Saccharomyces cerevisiae S288C: one gene and its partner. The protein of the gene in region 2 binds, or shares a complex with, the protein of the main gene of each other region. Each region holds a gene or a part of one and is shown on either strand. Other genes may lie near its edges.

Region 1 (6,997 bases), on a different chromosome or scaffold from region 2:
CAAGATAACTAATTCTCACCAAAACCATCTCCTATACCAAGGCTTCATATGTGTTGATTCATTACTGCCCTTTCCCCTACTAGTATTGTGGGTTTTATCCTGTACAATTAACTCATTTAATTGGTGTTCCAGGATTTCTACCTCTTTCTTTAGCTGACTTTCTCTCTCCTCATGCTCTAGTTTCCACCAAGAGAAGTGAAGCAGTAAATAAACGGAAGATCCCATTAGAATGAACATCCAAAGAGGCCTAATAAATCTTTTTACAGGGATCTCATGTCCTGATTCTTCCTCTTGCGAGAATTTTTTGAGCATATCTAACTCCTTTTTGATATTTAATTTTGTAGTATGCTCATTAATCAAATCGCGTATCAGTTCAGTATCAACACCATCCAAAGAATCCAAATTAGCCAAGTCTTCTAGGCTCTTGATTTCTTTCTTCGGTGACGTTGAAACAGCTCTTCGTTGTTGGTTGAGGAGGCGCCTGTGGTAATAGGCAACGGTTGTTATGGGAAACAATTTAGTTCTACTCAAAGTAATGAGAGCATTAGAGCGTCTTTTTAACATATTGTCTATTATATGCTTTGGTTCCCATTTCCTTTCTCAAAGTTTACAAATATAACAGAGTGCTTAGCGAATACTTTATTTTATGAGTCTTGCCGTTAGTGACCCCACCCAAAATAAGATGCAAACCGGTATACATATTAGACATTTCCCACGTATACAAATATATTAAGTAAATAAGCCTCGTCGTGATGAACTTAAATACATGGTATTGAGAGAGTTATAAACAGGTAGATAGATATCTTAAATAAAAATAAGCAGATAAGTAACAATGTTTAAGAAAACGATGGGGAAGCGTAAATATATGCAAAATTTCCCCCTCAGTCCTTACGTATACCGTATTTGGCACGAAGCTTCCACATTTCCAGTCTTGCCTGTTGCTGTAGGTTCAGGTTAGGATGGGACATTGGACTACTTTCACTATCACTTCTGATTATAGACCCGATGGACATAAATAGCCCAAAGGTACCCGCTGAACCAGCAATGTATTTCCCTAGTGTTCTAACTACACCATCAGGACCTGGGCCTTGAGTTGCGATGGCAAATCCACCAAATAGGATGCCTGTGCAGACACCGACGGTAGTACCCATCATCAACCCCATTTTGAATTTGTCCCAATTCGAAGGCTGCTGTTGCGCATAATTTTGTGGAAGAGGAGGCATTATATCTTAATATTGGACTTGAAGCTGTTGCGCTATTTGTGCTATATGATCTTGTGTGGTGTTCTGTGCTTCCTTCTTATGGAAAAGTAGTGGAGTCTGTTTGGTAATGTTGGTCTTGTTCGGGAGTTTTGAAAAGAAAATAAAAAGTGGTTGGCTCATAATGTTAAGAAAGAATTTCCAGTTTCCGATTGAACACAGCAATCTACAGGTAGACATTGTGAATCATGCTCGAATTACGAAGTTGTAGTAATTTGGTCAATAGTAGTAGGAGACTTGTGCCTCTGGTGACTTATTCCGGACTAAGTGCAATAACATTGCCTAAATCTCGATTTTATTCACAGCCTAGTGCTTTAGAAGTACAGGGCACATCGGATTCTCGAAGCGATAATATTTTAGACGAACTCAAACAAAGGGGTCTAGTGTCCCAGGTCTCACAGCCAGAGAGTTTCCTTCGGACGAAGTTGAACGGTAACGATAAGATCAAATTATACTGCGGGGTGGATCCCACAGCTCAGTCACTTCATTTGGGAAATCTAGTTCCACTAATGGTTTTATTACACTTTTACGTAAAAGGTCACGACATTGTCACTGTGATAGGTGGAGCTACAGGGAAAGTTGGGGACCCAAGTGGTAGGAAAACAGAAAGAGACGTTATGGAGAACGATATTAGGCAAAGCAATGTGGCATCCATCTCGCAGCAATTACAAAGGTTTTTCAAAAATGGCCTAGAATATTACAGAAACCGATGTGCTCTCACTGAAGATGTACCTTCCGGAAAATATACACCAAGGAATAATTTCAACTGGTGGAAAGACATCAAAATGTTGGATTTCTTAGCTGATTTTGGTAGGCACATTCGGGTACAATCTATGTTGGCGAGGGATTCAATTTCTTCGAGGCTTCAAACCAAAAATGGTCTGGGATTTAACGAATTTACTTACCAAGTTTTACAAGCGTACGATTTTTACCATTTGTATAAGGAAGAGAATGTGACTATACAAGTAGGTGGTAACGACCAATGGGGAAATATAACAGCCGGTATCGATCTCATCAATAGGATACAGCCTATAAAGAATAAGGGTTTGCCATTTGGTATCACTGTGCCCTTGTTGACGACGGCTACAGGAGAGAAATTTGGGAAAAGTGCAGGCAATGCTGTTTTTATTGACCCCTCAATCAATACGGCGTATGATGTTTACCAGTTCTTTTATAATACTTTGGATGCTGATGTACCCAAGTTCTTGAAGATCTTTACGTTTTTAAACTCAAGTGAAATCAAAAAAATTGTGGAAACGCATATCAAATCACCCAGTCTACGTTATGGCCAAACTTTATTGGCTAAAGAAGTCACAGATATGTTATATGGAGTTGGCTCCGGATCGGATTCAGAAGCGCTTTCTAATATTATTTTTGGACGTTATGACGGAACTTTATCTGCTGCGAAGTTAGTTGATCTATGTAAAAAAGCCAGAATTTTGCAGTATGCTGATAGAGAGATTGACTTAATAAAGTTAATTTGTAAACTAGTAAATTGTTCAGTATCAGAAGCCAGAAGAAAACTTTCCCAGGGAAGCGTGTATCTGCATCATTCAAAATCTAAAGTAAACGAAAATATTTCTAACTTGGCTCCTTTCCTGATAGATGATCGAGTACTGATCTTGAGGATAGGAAAGCAGAAGTGTTTTATAATAGAAATGCGTTAAAAAAAAGGGAGGTATATAAAGTACATGTATAAAATAGGCATGCGTGAGGTGATATTATATCATTTTATGCACTGACTTGTAAATAAGATTATAAACGATTATTCATCTTTACTACTTGCGAACATTTCACTGTCACACCAGGCTATGAGGGCCCACAGCCAGAGAGTCGCAGGGCATAGCAGTAATACACACCAGTAGTGCAGGAAAGAGTCATTGTTGCGTAACCAGTAAAATGTAGCAAGACTAATTAGGAGTACCGAGTAAGTAAACCCTAAAACCAAAAAGCCTTGGTCACGTGGTCTCATGCGCTTATAAATTCTCAATCATGTAATTGAAACAGTCCTGTTGCCTAGTTTCAACTGTTCTATGCTTCTTGATGTTTTCGAAACTTTGCGTAGTGTAATCTTCCTTGTATTGTAGCGAAGAAAAAAGGATGCGTTGGGAACAGATATAGAAGACGTAAAACAACCTGAAGAAGGTAACAGGTGGAGTAGCAATGGGAGAGGTATACGAAAAAAATAACATAGATTTTGATTCAATAGCCAAAATGTTGTTAATTAAGTATAAGGATTTCATACTGTCTAAATTCAAGAAAGCTGCACCTGTAGAGAATATAAGGTTTCAGAATTTAGTCCATACAAATCAATTCGCACAAGGAGTCCTAGGTCAGAGTCAACATCTCTGTACAGTCTATGACAATCCTTCATGGCATTCTATAGTCCTGGAGACATTGGATCTGGATCTAATATATAAAAATGTTGATAAGGAATTTGCCAAAGATGGGCATGCAGAGGGGGAAAATATATACACGGATTATCTAGTAAAGGAGCTGCTTCGCTACTTCAAACAAGATTTTTTCAAATGGTGCAATAAACCAGATTGTAATCATTGTGGCCAGAACACTTCAGAAAATATGACACCTCTGGGCAGTCAAGGGCCCAATGGAGAGGAATCTAAATTCAATTGCGGAACTGTTGAGATCTATAAATGCAACCGATGCGGAAATATCACTAGATTTCCTCGTTATAACGATCCAATTAAGTTGCTGGAAACTAGAAAGGGAAGATGCGGTGAATGGTGCAATTTATTTACTTTGATTTTGAAGTCGTTTGGGTTAGATGTTCGCTACGTCTGGAATAGAGAAGATCATGTTTGGTGTGAATATTTTTCAAATTTTTTGAATAGGTGGGTTCATGTCGACTCCTGTGAGCAATCATTCGACCAACCATATATCTATTCAATTAACTGGAACAAGAAAATGAGTTACTGTATTGCGTTCGGTAAAGATGGCGTTGTTGACGTTAGTAAACGCTATATCCTCCAAAACGAGCTGCCCAGAGATCAAATCAAGGAAGAAGATTTAAAATTCCTTTGTCAATTTATAACGAAGAGGTTGAGGTATTCGTTAAATGATGACGAGATATACCAACTTGCATGTCGCGATGAGCAGGAACAGATAGAGCTGATTAGAGGAAAGACACAAGAAACGAAATCCGAAAGCGTCAGTGCCGCTTCGAAATCATCTAATCGTGGTAGAGAAAGTGGATCGGCGGATTGGAAAGCACAGCGTGGGGAGGATGGTAAATAGAGAAATAAAAGAACAGATTATTATGTGTAAGGAATTTTATCTAAGAACATATTTATAAAACTAACTCATCAAAGCTGCCCAAGAACTCGGCAGCTTGCTTTGTTAACCAGGAATTACTTTCATTGTCGAGATAAGCCAAATGTCCACCCAAGTCAGTCTCGCATAACAACACACAAGGATTTTCTCTAGCTTGTTTGTACGGAATTACGTTTTCACCTGTAACTGGATCATCCGTTGCGTTGATTATTAAAGTTGGGATTTTGATATTAGGCAATCTATTTATCGAACTGGCCTTTCTATAATATGTTAACCCGTCCGGCAGGCCCATCGATGGGGCAGTGAAAAGATTATCGAATTCTAATATGTCTGTAAATTTTTCAGCCTTTTCCAAATTTTCTCTGGTATACGTATAAAAGACTGGTTTCTCAACTGTCGGTTTGTGCGAAACCTCAAAATTCTCTGGTACCTGCAACTCATTCATATTAACCTTGACAGTCCTTGTTAGAAATTGTGTTAAAGTTCTAGAAAAAATATGGTTGGACCACCAATCATGAGCCAACTTGTCCCAAGTGTGTACGAAATCCCATGGGTTTGAGAGAGCGACTGCAGCATTTAATGGACAGTTATCTCCTTCTTCACCTAAGTAGTTCGTTAGCATGGCTGCTCCAAATGATGTTCCGACTGCATATATTTTTCTTTGCGGAAATAGAGCTTTTTGGTGGTTCAAAAATTCTCTCACATCACCTGTGTGTAATGCGGTAAAGATTCTACGGGTGGTGACTTTAGATCTTGAGCAACCTCTAGCATTAAGGACTACCACTTGGAATTTACCGTCACCGACTTTTGATAGATCTTCAGATAATGCCCTGATGAGAGGCTCATGGCTTCCCCCTGCAAGACCATGAAGTACTACCACTAAAGGGTAAGAATAACCCTTAGAATGACATTTTTCAAGTTCCTCAGAGGATAGATATCTAGTTCTCGGGTGAAGACGAGGCCAACCCTTTGGATGGGTGGCCTTTTCATCGTTCGAAAATTGTTTCTCGTTAAAACTAGCCTTTTCAGCATTTAATGAATATGTTTGCTCCCATTCAGGCATAACCCAATCTGCAGTGCAGACCCCTCCATCAGAAAATTTTATAATCTCTCTTCCATAAAATACCTGAAATTTTTTGGAAAAATCACCGGCTGACAAATAAAGGGTCTGTAAGTAACCTGTGAAAAGCAAGCTGTTTAACCTAAAATTTGCACCATCTTTGAGTGTAGGCACGTGTTTGGTTACGAATTCATGAAGAGGAATTTGGCGCTTAGAATCTCTGAAAGCCAAAGACTTGGTTCCTTTCTCTCCCAGTACATGTTTGACGGTGCCGTTATAGCCCCAATGGCTAGGAGTGACAGTTGGATAGTAACCCGAGCGAAACATTAAAATGACAAATATGAAAATACTTGATATCTTGATCTTTTTGCTAATCTTCAAAAATACCGAAAACTAAGTAGGCAACCAGATGCAGAACCCTTCTTATATAATCGATTCCTGTAAGCAAGTGTCAGCAAATAGCTTCTATATAGAGACCTTTCGGTGAAAGTATATTAAAGCCGGCCGGAAATTGAGTAATAATAACCGCTAATTATGCGGTGTGTGGATTCAGATTTTTGCCAGGAGCGATAACCTTCAAATCTAAAACTACTCACTATAAGCGATGAAGCAACCAGATGGTAGCGCTTTGGTGCCGGTTCTCTTGAAGGTTTGTACATGTGCGAGTTCATGAGGTTACAATATAGAAGGTTTATACAGTAGAGCTATACAGGATAATGGAAGTTCAGTTTTGTTCGGCTTTTTCATTGATGGCTTTCTTCTTATTGCTTTCTCTCTTGGCTTGTTTCTTCTTCATTCTTTTCAGTTTCTTTTTGTAACTATAAGTATCCTTCTCACCAAAACCGTAAAGTGGCTTAAAACTCTCTAGTACACCGCAATCTTCGAACAGGTTGGGAAAGATCCAGAACCCACCAACATCTTTGTAGACAATTAATGACAAAACATATAATATCAATCTCAGGATAGCGACAGCAAAGAAGCCTGCTAAGATGCCGAAGGCACCCAGAGACACATAATAGGAGCCGCGTCTCATGGAGCGCGGCCACAATGGGTAGCATACGAGCGCCAATATGATGGACACGACACCAATGACGATCAAGTAATCCATGTAGGTTCTAGGGTTATAGTTCCAAACAAAGTATTCATCGGCTTCCAATTGTGCTTTATTCGAAACAATCAAGTGCGGAAAGTCCTTGCTTGGCTTCAATCCATGCTCTTTGCATTCTTGACTATGCAATTTTTTCACTGGGATCACCATTTGTGCCTTTATAAGTTGAATAAAGATTTCACGTGACTTAAGCTGGTCTTCGATCTTGTTAGAAGGTATAGTTGGATATATCTCTGGCTGTCTTGCAGATTTGTTGGCATACTCCTCAGAATGCAGTGC
Region 2 (5,038 bases):
CTACGATGGTGTCTGACAACTTCTTCCACATACCAATGTACGTCTTGCCTTCACACCTTACTGCTTCTTATGGCATCCCATATTGGATCCCCCACGTCGCCGCGACAGGCCTTGGACGCCAGCCGTTGCGTTGCACTTGCCAAAGTAACTCACTTGCCAGGGTCTCAGCGATGCACAGAAGAAGGCGGTCCCTTCTTGGAAGAGAGAAATTGTTTACATAACTATATAGTATCTCACAGATACAAGCATACGGTAGCCATAATATACTTCGCAAACCGTACCTTTTTGCGTAAGAAATACACATATAGTAGGTTTTGTCGCCTCCTCTTCCCCCTTTGTCTCAGCATAGCATTAACATAGGTGCCTCAGAGTGACAAAGAGAGAAATAGTTAACTAGAATACGGTGCAAATTCAGAGAAAAAATATCAGATTCTATTCTATTTACCCCCCCTATAACTGCAGAATCGTACATTTGATCAGCAAGTACCATGGGTAATTCCGGTTCGAAACAACATACCAAGCACAATAGCAAGAAGGATGACCACGACGGTGACAGGAAAAAGACACTAGATCTCCCACCACTGACAAAATCGGATACTACACATTCGCTGAAATCGTCAAGGTCGCTGAGGTCGCTGCGGTCGAAACGCTCAGAGGCGTCGTTGGCATCTAATGTTCAAGCTCAAACGCAACCCCTCTCCCGCAGATCGTCCACTCTGGGAAACGGCAATCGCAACCATAGGCGATCAAACAACGCCCCAATCACTCCTCCTAATAACCACTACCTAACCTCACATCCCAGTTCGTCAAGAAGACTCTCTTCCTCTTCGAGAAGGTCGAGCATGGGGAATAATAACAATTCAGAATTGCCCCCGTCAATGATCCAGATGGAGCCCAAATCACCCATCTTGAAAAATAGTACAAGCATGCATTCCACTAGCTCTTTCAACTCTTACGAAAATGCGTTGACTGATGATGACGACGATAGGGGGGATGATGGCGGCGAGAGCCCCTCAATGGCCAAAGTTACTCGCATCAACACTAGTTCTTCCGCAGATAGAGGCTCCAAGCGTACTCCTTTAAGACGTCATAATTCATTACAACCGGAAAAAGGTGTAACAGGATTTTCCTCGACTTCATCGAAATTACGCAGAAGATCAGACAATACTCTGCCAGCAAGTTATCCTTTAAATGCAGAAGCAGGAGGGAATGGCAGCGACTATTTCTCAAACAGATCAAACTCGCATGCATCATCCAGGAAGTCGTCATTTGGCTCCACTGGGAATACAGCTTATAGCACACCACTGCATTCACCTGCGTTAAGAAAAATGAGCTCGAGGGACAACGACGATAGCGGAGACAACGTCAACGGTAGAGGCACCTCACCTATCCCTAATCTAAACATAGACAAGCCTTCGCCGTCAGCGTCGTCAGCGTCAAAAAGAGAATATTTAAGTGCATATCCAACACTAGCTCACAGAGATTCATCATCTTCACTTAGTCCGCGGGGCAAAGGACAACGGTCTTCATCGTCTTCCAGTTCCAGTCAAAGAATATATGTTTCCCCACCATCTCCCACAGGTGATTTCGTACACGGGAGTTGTGCAGACGGTGATAATGGATCTAGGACTAATACTATGGTCGAAATGAAAAGGAAAAAACCAGTTCGTCCAGTGGACATAGATGAAATTATCCAGAGATTACTAGATGCCGGCTATGCCGCAAAGAGGACCAAGAATGTTTGCTTAAAGAATTCCGAGATTATTCAAATTTGCCATAAGGCTCGTGAATTATTCCTTGCCCAACCTGCTCTCTTAGAATTATCTCCCTCGGTAAAAATAGTGGGTGATGTTCACGGCCAATATGCAGATCTTTTGAGACTTTTTACCAAATGCGGTTTCCCCCCCATGGCAAATTACTTATTTTTAGGCGATTACGTAGATCGCGGTAAGCAGTCCCTGGAGACCATTTTACTATTACTATGCTATAAGATTAAATATCCTGAAAATTTCTTCCTCTTAAGAGGCAATCATGAATGTGCCAATGTTACAAGAGTCTACGGGTTTTATGATGAATGTAAACGACGTTGTAATATCAAGATTTGGAAAACCTTTGTTGACACGTTCAACACGCTACCGTTAGCAGCCATCGTCACAGGAAAAATATTTTGTGTTCATGGTGGACTATCACCTGTTCTAAATTCCATGGACGAAATTAGGCACGTTAGTAGGCCCACCGATGTACCCGACTTCGGCTTAATTAATGACCTTTTATGGTCGGATCCTACAGATTCATCGAATGAATGGGAGGATAATGAGCGTGGAGTTAGTTTTTGTTACAATAAAGTGGCTATTAATAAATTTTTAAACAAATTCGGATTCGATTTAGTGTGTAGAGCACATATGGTGGTGGAAGATGGTTATGAATTCTTTAATGACAGAAGCTTAGTTACAGTGTTTTCGGCTCCCAACTATTGTGGTGAATTCGATAACTGGGGTGCTGTCATGACCGTTAGTGAAGGCCTACTCTGTTCTTTTGAGTTGTTGGACCCACTGGACAGTACCGCTTTGAAACAAGTGATGAAAAAAGGCAGGCAAGAACGTAAATTAGCCAATCGCTGAAAAACTAGATATTAATGTTGCAGTTAATAAGCTCATTGAAAACTTTCTTTGGTTGTTCCTCTTCCTTCTTTTTTTCGCCGATAAAGTTGTCGTTATAGTTTCACTTATATCTTACGAGAATCTAAATAAGTAAATATTAATATTATTCAATTTCTCATTTCCTTTCCTCTGGGTTTTTTGAGAGTACGAGTTTTATTGCTCGCTTTTTGTATTTTCACTTTGCCGGCTTTTTCACTATTCCCTATTGTCTTAATAAAGTTCCTGCTTGGGCCCAGTAAACTTTTAAAATTTATGTGCTGAAAGAAAGTTGAAACAATCACAAGAGGAGAGCAGATTTGCCAAAAAAAGAATCTGAGCTGTTTGTTCCTGTCTAATACTAAAAGATATAAATAAACAATATGTATACAAAAGAGTACTACTGGTTTTCACAATATATGATAATAACAAGCACTTTGGTGCTCACCATAATATGGTCCATCTTACCATCATCGCTGGGTGAGGCTGCACCAAAGCAGTTTATCAACACGCTATTGGACATCTTCCCACAAAGAAGATGGATTATTACCTTGGAGAGCATAATGCTGATGGGCATGCTATGCACATACATCGGCCTTCTGATGTACAATGAAGATACATTAACACCGCCGCTAGATTCTCTATCTACAGTAACGGATGCCGGTGGTCAACTTGTAATAGAGGACGACCCGGACGTATTCGTTAAGAAATGGGCCTTTAAAGAAACAAGTGGTATTTACGATCTGTCTCTGATGGATGCCTGCCAACTTCTCTACCTATATGATAACGACCATACCAGCACATAGCTTTTCTCAGCACCTGTCCAGAGACATAACATCACAATCACATCGCCCCAGTAAATGCATACGCAAGATAAGATACAAACTGGCTACGGGAACACTACGCCAACGTGATTGGCAATTGTGCTCTAATAGTTACTCTATTATTGCTGTTAATTGACAATGTTTAGTCACGTGCAACACAATTCAAGTCACGTGGAAAGGCCTTCACATGGTGATCCATCTTCTACATCTTCATCGGTCCTGCATAAAGTCATAATATGGGGCTACTGGAATGTATGCACTTAACAGTACTATTATATGGTGAGGCTGTAATGCTTACCGTTTTGTGGCTATTCTCGTATTCTGTAGGCCCCCCCATACACATTTTTCGGTAACTGCGGCATATAGATGAAAGTTGAAATGAATATTCAAAAGAATATATATAATAATGCAGGAGATCAAGGAAGAATTAGATATGTATAAGAGTGATGGTAGAGGCAAAAAATAAAAAGTAAGCAGGAGAATGAATCGTGTTGGTATAGACGTAGATCATATGATAGGGGTCCTGCTTCTGGCCGTAGTGGTGGTGTTTTGGGTTGGCGCTTCGTGTTTGACTAATGAATTGCTCGAGACAAACGCGTACAATAAACCTTTCTTCCTTACTTATCTAAACATATCATCGTTTGCTCTTTATTTGACGCCAGATCTATGGAGGATAATCCAATCAAGAAGGAAGAGCTTGCAGGAACGGACAGAACGAACATTACCTATTCACACACAAGAATCTTTTTCAGAGTTCCTACCTTTACTATCTTCAACTCCTTCTACTTCTTCAAATTTGTCTTCGATAGCGGACACGAAAGTGAAGGATACAATGAGGTTGAGTCTGCTATTTTGCGTCTTGTGGTTCGTGGCAAATTTGGCGGCTAACGCTGCTTTGTCGTATACCACAGTGGCTTCGTCAACAATTCTTTCATCGACATCCTCATTTTTTACCTTATTTCTTGCCACTAGTCTAGGAATAGAAACTTTTTCGACAAAAAAACTGCTGGGGTTATTTGTGTCTTTGTTTGGAATTATCTTAATTGTGATGCAATCCTCGAAGCAACAGGATTCTGTGAGTGCTTCCTCCTTTTTGGTAGGTAACACTTTAGCACTGCTGGGGTCATTGGGTTACAGTGTCTATACAACCCTTTTGAAATACGAAATATCATCCAAAGGTCTCAGACTAGACATTCAGATGTTTCTTGGTTATGTTGGTATCTTCACGTTTCTGTTGTTTTGGCCAATTTTAATAATCCTGGATATAACACATATGGAAACTTTTGAACTACCAAGTAACTTCCACATTTCTTTTCTTGTCATGTTAAATTGTATCATTATCTTTGTTAGTGACTATTTTTGGTGTAAAGCCCTCATTTTGACATCACCCTTGGTGGTTACCGTTGCCTTAACTTTTACTATCCCGTTAGCCATGTTCGCTGATTTTGTATGGCGAGAGGCATTTTTTACGCCTTGGTATATCATTGGTGTTATTTTCATTTTTGTTTCATTCTTTCTAGTTAACCATCGGGGAGAATCTGCTGTTGAAAAGGACTGTGCTGCGGTTGAAAAAGGACC

Evidence for each region.
Region 1: GPI19 (region 2) and ERI1 share a complex: the UniProt entries of both Saccharomyces cerevisiae proteins name them as parts of the phosphatidylinositol N-acetylglucosaminyltransferase (GPI-GlcNAc transferase) complex.

What each region holds. Positions count from the first base shown.
Region 1 is NC_001148.4:363,505-370,501, forward strand, and holds ERI1 (Eri1p), read right to left. Parts: upstream 3,232-6,997; coding exon 3,025-3,231; downstream 1-3,024. Other genes in the region: INA17 (Ina17p), read right to left, coding at 16-564; MGR2 (Mgr2p), read right to left, coding at 882-1,223; tyrosine--tRNA ligase MSY1, read left to right, coding at 1,448-2,926; PNG1 (peptide-N4-(N-acetyl-beta-glucosaminyl)asparagine amidase), read left to right, coding at 3,423-4,514; EEB1 (medium-chain fatty acid ethyl ester synthase/esterase), read right to left, coding at 4,567-5,937; Sec63 complex subunit SEC62, read right to left, coding at 6,335-6,997. UniProt on the Saccharomyces cerevisiae protein: Probable component of the GPI-GlcNAc transferase (GPI-GnT) complex in the endoplasmic reticulum, a complex that catalyzes transfer of GlcNAc from UDP-GlcNAc to an acceptor phosphatidylinositol, the first step in the production of GPI-anchors for cell surface proteins.
Region 2 is NC_001136.10:1,334,333-1,339,370, forward strand, and holds GPI19 (phosphatidylinositol N-acetylglucosaminyltransferase GPI19), read left to right. Parts: upstream 1-3,019; coding exon 3,020-3,442; downstream 3,443-5,038. Other genes in the region: PPZ2 (salt homeostasis regulator), read left to right, coding at 489-2,621; THI74 (Thi74p), read left to right, coding at 3,942-5,038. UniProt on the Saccharomyces cerevisiae protein: Part of the complex catalyzing the transfer of N-acetylglucosamine from UDP-N-acetylglucosamine to phosphatidylinositol, the first step of GPI biosynthesis. Involved in cell wall biosynthesis.